2 linked regions of the Schizosaccharomyces pombe genome follow. Changing the gene in region 1 together with any one later gene gives a genetic interaction. Each region holds a gene or a part of one and is shown on either strand. Other genes may lie near its edges.

The links. A genetic interaction does not mean that the proteins touch.
Region 2: mutations in nse6 (region 1) and pnk1 impair growth when combined (synthetic growth defect), as found in Schizosaccharomyces pombe (2 studies listed by BioGRID, with this or other methods).

The regions. Positions count from the first base shown.
Region 1 is NC_003424.3:5,295,827-5,299,791, forward strand, and holds nse6 (Smc5-6 complex non-SMC subunit Nse6), read right to left. Parts: upstream 1,955-3,965; 5' UTR 1,908-1,954; coding exon 339-1,907; 3' UTR 223-338; downstream 1-222. Other genes in the region: protein tyrosine phosphatase Pyp3, read left to right, coding at 3,012-3,299, 3,405-3,965. UniProt on the Schizosaccharomyces pombe protein: Acts in a DNA repair pathway for removal of UV-induced DNA damage that is distinct from classical nucleotide excision repair and in repair of ionizing radiation damage.
Region 2 is NC_003424.3:2,137,550-2,141,149, reverse strand, and holds the start of pnk1 (DNA kinase/phosphatase Pnk1), read left to right. Parts: upstream 1-1,682; 5' UTR 1,683-1,711; coding exon 1,712-2,252; exon of another isoform or gene 2,253-2,275; intron 2,276-2,305; coding exon 2,306-2,701; intron 2,702-2,740; coding exon 2,741-2,883; intron 2,884-2,939; coding exon 2,940-3,086; 3' UTR 3,087-3,208; coding exon of another isoform or gene 3,209-3,600. Other genes in the region: ipp1 (inorganic pyrophosphatase), read right to left, coding at 1-621; mpp10 (U3 snoRNP-associated protein Mpp1), read right to left, coding at 3,209-3,600. UniProt on the Schizosaccharomyces pombe protein: Catalyzes the phosphorylation of DNA at 5'-hydroxyl termini and can dephosphorylate its 3'-phosphate termini. Has a role in the repair of breaks in single-stranded DNA.

The DNA.
Region 1 (3,965 bases):
AGTATTTAATGCTTCAGGCTAAATGATCGCAAGTTCGGCTTCCATTGTTTTCTTAAATGTGGATTGTGTATGATTTCTGCTGATTCTTATCATAAATTATTCCCATAGCTGCTTTCTATTAATCAAGTGGATACAATATCTTTCAATGGATGCTAAGTTTTGACTATCGTAAAAGATGGTAACTTCTTTCTTCTTTTCTGTCCATTTGTAATTCCAAGGGAATTATAATAAGTAACTTTCTTTTAAATTAAACTATGGATTTCTTAGTTAGAAAGTATTATACAATTTGTTGAATTTGCGCCAGCACTGAAATTAATATTAATAAATACACTGATTGTTTATCTTTTGTACGCTTGCCGTTTATTTTTCTTTTTTCCCTTCTTCACCTTTTTAGCTGAAAAGCTTTTGTTTTCTTTCATCGATAAGTTAGAAGTTTTATCCTTGAAATACCTGTCCTTTTGTTTATTATTATTGGGCAAGTCACTTTCAATAATCCTCTCCAATTCTGGTGCTGAGTTTGTATTTAAATAGTAAAGCACCATAAAAAGTCTATGTATGCAATCTTTAACTTCACATCTCGATAGTAGCAAATGGTCTGTTGAACCAGATATTGTTAAATCTATTTTTCGTAATTTTTCCAGTAAGCACTCTAAGCGCTCATTAGTTTTAAAATGCTTTTCATCCACCGCATATCCGAAGGTACGAATCTGGTACAATAAAGTTGTATAGTCATTATTACAGGAAGCGGAAATTTCATCTAGTCGTTGACATAAAGAAGAAAAGTCTGAATCATCATTTTTACTTTGTTTCCCAACAAATAATGTAAAAGCAATCTTCTTTCTGAATTTTTGGCAGGAACGAGACAAAGAAGATAGTATTGTAACCCAAACTCTAGGACTTTCAGACACCTTATGAATATTACTGATCAAAAAATCTGGATTCAATGATATTGGAAGTTCCATGAATTGAGAAAATTGCCATTTACAAAATGAGCCCACTTGATTGTCAATTAAGATTCGACATGCATCCTGAATCATTTCAAAGCGAACAGTGTCGTCGGAGAACCGATACAAAGTTCCACAGCATTTTAGGAAATTAATTACCTTAATTTTCAAATTGCTTTTTAAATTTTCTGAGGCTGACGTACGTTCCAACTGGATTGGTACCTGTCGTTTCGCTAAATCAATGCCAATCATATCTGCAGTAGTCTCAAAAATAAATCGTACAATTTGGTTGAGATTATTAGAGCTGCTTTTATAGCTATAAAAAATCTTTTCTAGGTTAGCAATCCATTCAGAGCATGTTGTGTCTCCTAAAGAGCGGAAAAATTGCAAGCTGCATATTGACAATGCAATATCTAAGGGGACCAATTTTGCCGATAATAAATCACCAAAAGTTGTTGGTATAATTCCTTCATTAAACTCCAAATCGTTATCTTTCAAGCATTCTGCTTTCAGGGTGTTCCAGTCTGGAACACGAGCTTTTGAATTGCTACAATATTCGTACCTAAGGTCGTCATCATAAATAGGGTTAGAACGTAGAACATTCAAAACATTTGATCCAACACTTTTTCCTATTAATTCATCAATTTCATCTCCCGTTTGAAAGGTTTGAGTGCTGTCATATTGCAATAAATTTTGTACTGCTAATTTTCTTCTTTTTGCAACCGAATCGTCAATTGTAGCAGTACTAGAAAGAAGATCAATATTCCATCTGTATGTAGATGAATTAGAAGAATCATTTTTCAAATACTGTTTTCGCGATTGGGCTCTTGCCGAAGGCACCAAAGAAGAGATATCAGGAAGCTCGTCCAACTCTTCAGAATCATCACTATCAAGTATGTGGTCAATTAATTTTGAAGAATTATCTAAATCAGGAAATTTTGAAATGTTATTAGACGCATTCATAGAACTATACCAGCAAAGACACTTTTGATGTGCTTTGGTAAAAGGGTGGATGGATATATAACAAAAATTATGAAATAGTAAATAGTGGAAAGTAAACGTTTATAATTTAATTATATAGCATTATAGTTTGACGACGATTGTTTTTTTGTTGTTTATAGTCTCATTTCATCCAATTTGAGCATTCCAAGCAAATAATATTAAACATCGAGTAAATTATTGATTTTCTTATTAAATGAATAATTTGTTAGTTTATAGCATTTCAACTGCTATTACCGGAGAAATCATAAACATATCCAAGCTGGCTTCGTTGATGTTTACATATGACTTTTCTTAAGCGAACATTCAAAAAAAAAGAATAGAAAAAACCTGTCATAAGCTTTTGTTAACAATTAATGATTTTTACTAATTCTGAGTTAAAGTTATTGGAAACCTTAGAAGAAAGAACACCTAAAACCAATTTAGGCACGTTTTCATTCAAAGAAATCTTTACAAATTACATTAAAACCAAAGAAGCCAAGTAAGGGAGTCAAACGAGTCAAACACAACTCCTAAAGAACAATGGCGACATTCAAACAGGCATTTAATGAAACAATTGCTGAGCAAGTATTATAATACTTGGCCTTATATAAGAAACGTCAAAACTTTTCTCTACACTTTAAATATTTTTGTTTTTGAAAGTAAAAGTATAGCAGATCGATTAAGTCCTTGGAGAGAACATAAGTGCGTTTAAATCATTTTATTCACTATCATCAATACAGTTGTTTACAACCTATAAAAGTATCCCACATATAGCTTGTTCTTCATACTACCGGCTTCGTAAAGGTTCGAGTTACCCCCACATAGACATTCGCAAATACTCTGGGCCTAGTCCTACGAAGTGAATGTGAACGTGAACTAGATTACGACTACAACTAGAAACTAGCGCTATGTGGGGGCCGTACAATGATGATTTATTAAACAATTATACTTCTCTTTTTTACTGACTTCTGTCATGGTTTTAGGAATCATTTAAAGTCGTTTAGTAGAAATTATTCTTTCTTTTTGATAGACACAAAAAAATACTTCGGTGAGAAGTTTAAAAGCGAATAAACGCAAAAAATCAATATGTCTTTTAAAGAAGTATCTACAGAAAATGGTGTTCTAACACCCTTGATCACAATAAAAGAAAAAGCGTACATGATTATTGAGGGACTCAATGAGGAAGAGATAGAGCTGTTAAATACTAGGTTGCCAAAGCTAAGTAAGAAAGCGCTGGCTAGAAACCGATACTCCAACATAGTCCCTTATGAAAATACTCGTGTTCGTTTAGATCCAATGTGGAAAGAAGCATGTGATTACATTAATGCTTCCATAGTAAAAATCCCTTCTGGGAAAACATTTATCGCTACTCAGGTTAGGAATAAAAAGAAATTGCGGGATTGTAAACGGCTTTGGCCTTTTTTCTTTTCATCATTTTTTGTAACATAATTACTAACTTAGTCTTCTTTATTTATATAGGGTCCAACGTCGAACAGTATTGATGTTTTTTGGAAGATGGTCTGGCAATCTGTGCCAAAATCAGGCATCATCGTTATGCTTACCAAATTGAGGGAACGCCATCGTCTGAAATGTGATATCTATTGGCCAGTGGAACTGTTTGAGACACTTAATATCGGTGATTTAAGCGTTATTTTGGTAAAAGTTTATACTTTGACATCATTAAATGAAGTTCAAGTTCGTGAATTTGAGCTGAACAAGGACGGGGTCAAGAAAAAAATTTTGCATTTTTACTATAACGGTTGGCCTGACTTTGGTGCACCACATACCTTCTCACTACTATCACTGACTCGCTATATAAAAAGTCTCTCATATTCTCCGGACTTTGAAACAGCACCCATTATAGTCCATTGTTCAGCGGGTTGTGGCAGAACGGGAACTTTCATGGCGTTATTTGAGATTTTATCTCAAACAGATGACTCTACTTCAACTTCGAAATTTGAGGTGGATAATATCGCAAATATAGTTTCCAGTCTTCGGTCACAAAGAATGCAATCTGTTCAATCGGTCGATCAGCTTGTT
Region 2 (3,600 bases), 3.2 Mb from region 1:
GAAAGCAAAGGAATTTTCAGGCTTGCCATCGGGGATCTTGTAAATGCGGAACCACTCGTTAGTAGCACGGATTAAGCCAGGCATATGACGTTCAACATCCTCAATATCATTAAGCTTAGGAGCTAAAGGGTCATTAACGTCGATGACAATAACCTTCCAGTCAGTCTCACCCTCGTCAAGAAGGGCCATAACACCCAAGACCTTAACTTGCTTGACTTGGCCGGTGTAGCCACGAGCTTCACCGATCTCACAAACATCGAGAGGATCGCTATCACCCTTGGCCTTGGTTTCAGGATGAACAACATTAGGATCCTCATAGGTTTGAGGAAAAGCACCGTAGTTCCAAATGTAACCGTGGTGAGGAAAGCAGTTACGAACGAAACGAAGCTTACCCTTCTTAGTATCTTGCTTGATAGGGTTCAAGGTAGCTTCCTTGGTAATTTCAAGCTTAGCCTGAGTCCAACGAGGGATCTCAACGACCATGTTCAAGATGGTCTTCTCAGCATTGGCATACAAGGGGATATCGTGCCAAGAAGAGATAGGAGTACCATTTTTCTCAACATAGACTTGGTAGTCCAATGTGTTCAAAGCGCCAACTTCACGGGTAGTGTATTCACTCATGACTGAAAAGTGTTTTTGGTTAAGTACAGGTTGCAATGTGCACTAATTCGCAACATCTGCTACAAAATTTGTAACTCAATGTATACAAAAAATCTTATATTAATTTATAAAATTTTCTAAGGAACAGGTTTATATTTTTAATATCGCATGTTTTTATTTTATACAGCATAAAGATGGATTTGTGAATCTTACATAGGGTAATACTGTTATAAAGTTACTTTCTTTAGCAATACTTTATTAAATGATTGATAGTAAAGGAGATTTCCACAACATGATAAAAATTTAGCACAAATAAATTATTAAAATTAAATTGTTTTACGAGAATTTATCAATTTTTTATATTAAACACAATCAAAGATATTTATTAGCCTTGTATGCAGGTTTCTTTTCTGTCGATATGGATCTTGTGGAATACTGATTTTGCGATCAGTAAATTCTTGGCTGATGCAGTAGAAGCCATAATGTTTATATAAAAATATACGAAATATTTAAATTAATTAATTATGGAAATTTTTGTTTTTAAATTCCAGATCAGCTACTAAAAAAGATAAATGACAAACGAAAAAATAATGCAAAAAAAAGCTCATACATAAAAACAAAATATTGCCGATGTCCTTCATTTTTTGTTTAAAAATAAACGGTTTAATTTTAAACGATACCAAAAAAAAAAAACTAATGTTCGTAAATAACGAGATATGCAATTGTTAATGAATAAGATGTAGGTCTCAAATATGTTATTTGTGAAATCTTTGAATGGTTGCCAAATAATAAATTAGACGAATAAATTAAAGAATTTTCTTGTTATTTATTGTCTAAATTTCTTCGAATAAGAATTATTTTCAAGTCAGTAAACATATTAAATCTTCGATTAAGGACTATATGATATAATATATCTTCTCACTAATTGTTGTATATGAGGCATTTTATGTAATTGATCAAAAACAATTGAAAATTCAATAGAGCGAAAAATAAAATTTTCATCTGTTATCCATTTTTAAGTATGTTATTGAAACCACCCATTTTCATTGCTATGCAATTATAATATAGCTAACTCAATTACCAAGTCCCATTTAGTATTTCGTCAATCGCGATGTCGTCGAAAAAAAGAAAGTCTCCCCCCCAGGAATCTTTAACTTCATATTTTGAAAAATCGTCTAAATCCTCAAAAAAGTACGGCTCTCAAAACAAAGATTCTGATTCATCCTCGACATGCCTTCAACAGAAAATAGAAATTCAATGGAGCATCACCGATTCATTATACATAGCAAAGTATGGAAAACTAAAAAAGACTAAAAAATTTATTGCATTTGATTTAGATGGAACGCTCATAAAAACTAAATCTGGTAGAGTATTTTCAAAAGATGCAGCTGACTGGACCTGGTGGCATCCAAGCGTTGTCCCAAAATTGAAGGCTTTATACCAAGACAATTATTCTCTTGTTATTTTCAGTAATCAAAACGGAATTCCAAGAAAACCTTCTGCCGGACATACCTTTCAGATGAAGATTCGTGCTATTTTTGAGTCATTAGATCTACCTATTGTATTGTATGCTGCCATCTTGAAAGATAAGTTTAGAAAACCATTGACAGGAATGTGGAATTCCTTTTTAAAAGACGTGAACCGTTCAATTGGTGAGTTGACGCTTGTAATTTATCAAGGCCTATTAACATTTTTCACCCTTTAGATTTATCTTTCATCAAATACGTAGGTGATGCTGCAGGCCGTCCGGGTGATCATAATTCAACTGATTTAAAGTTTGCTGAAAACATTGGGATTAAATTTGAGACGCCCGAGCAATTTTTCTTGGGGCATTCATTTGTGCCTCCAAACTTTGAATCATTTCATCCAAAGAATTACCTTGTAAGAAATTCTTCTTCACATCCATACCATTTTAAAAAATCCGAGCATCAAGAAATTGTTGTTTTAGTTGGGTTTCCTTCTTCTGGGAAGAGTACTTTAGCTGAATCTCAGATTGTCACTCAAGGATACGAAAGGGTAAATCAAGACATCTTAAAAACGAAATCAAAATGCATCAAGGCTGCCATAGAGGCACTTAAAAAAGAAAAATCGGTTGTCATAGGTATGTACTCGATCATTTCAACGACTTACGCGATTTCAGACAACACAAACCCTACAATAGAATCACGAAAAATGTGGATTGACATAGCCCAAGAATTTGAGATCCCTATACGCTGCATTCATCTTCAGTCATCTGAGGAACTTGCCAGACACAACAACGTTTTCCGTTACATTCACCATAACGTAAGTTACCTGTTGGAGCATTAGAAAGACTTAGAAGAATTCCTAACCAATTCTAGCAAAAACAACTTCCCGAGATAGCGTTTAATTCTTTCAAATCTCGTTTTCAAATGCCAACAGTAGAAGAAGGTTTTACAAATGTTGAAGAAGTTCCTTTTAAATGCCTTAAAGACTATGAAGATACATGGAATTATTGGTACGAATAATACGAATGATATCTAAGAAATTATTAAATTGCATTAATTTCAAAAATATATAGTTATTGATCCCACTAAAACCAAACGTTTATAAAAATTATGACTAGCACACTTAACACCGAAATTTATCTTCAAAGCTTTAGCTGATTTGAAGAAACAATCGGATGATATTTGTTTGAATTACTTGCAACCTTTTTGCGCTCACCTCCTTTACCAATGACCTCAACATTCGATTTTGATAATTGACGAACGACTTGTTCAGTACCGGAATTCCTTCTTTTCTCAGCCATTTGCTTACGTTTCTCAGCATGTTTTCTACGCACCCGCCTGCGGCGTGCTTGCTTTTGTTGGTGGTCCATTTCAGTCGATGAAATGGCGATACCTGACCGAGTAATAGTTTCACCTTCACGATTCTCATTAGACGGTTTATAAACTTCTTGAGGAGCCAATGCCATAGTGTCAGAGGCAGCAGTTGGCTGAACGTCCTCCATTGCTAAAGTGGGTGCATTAGAAACAATTTCAA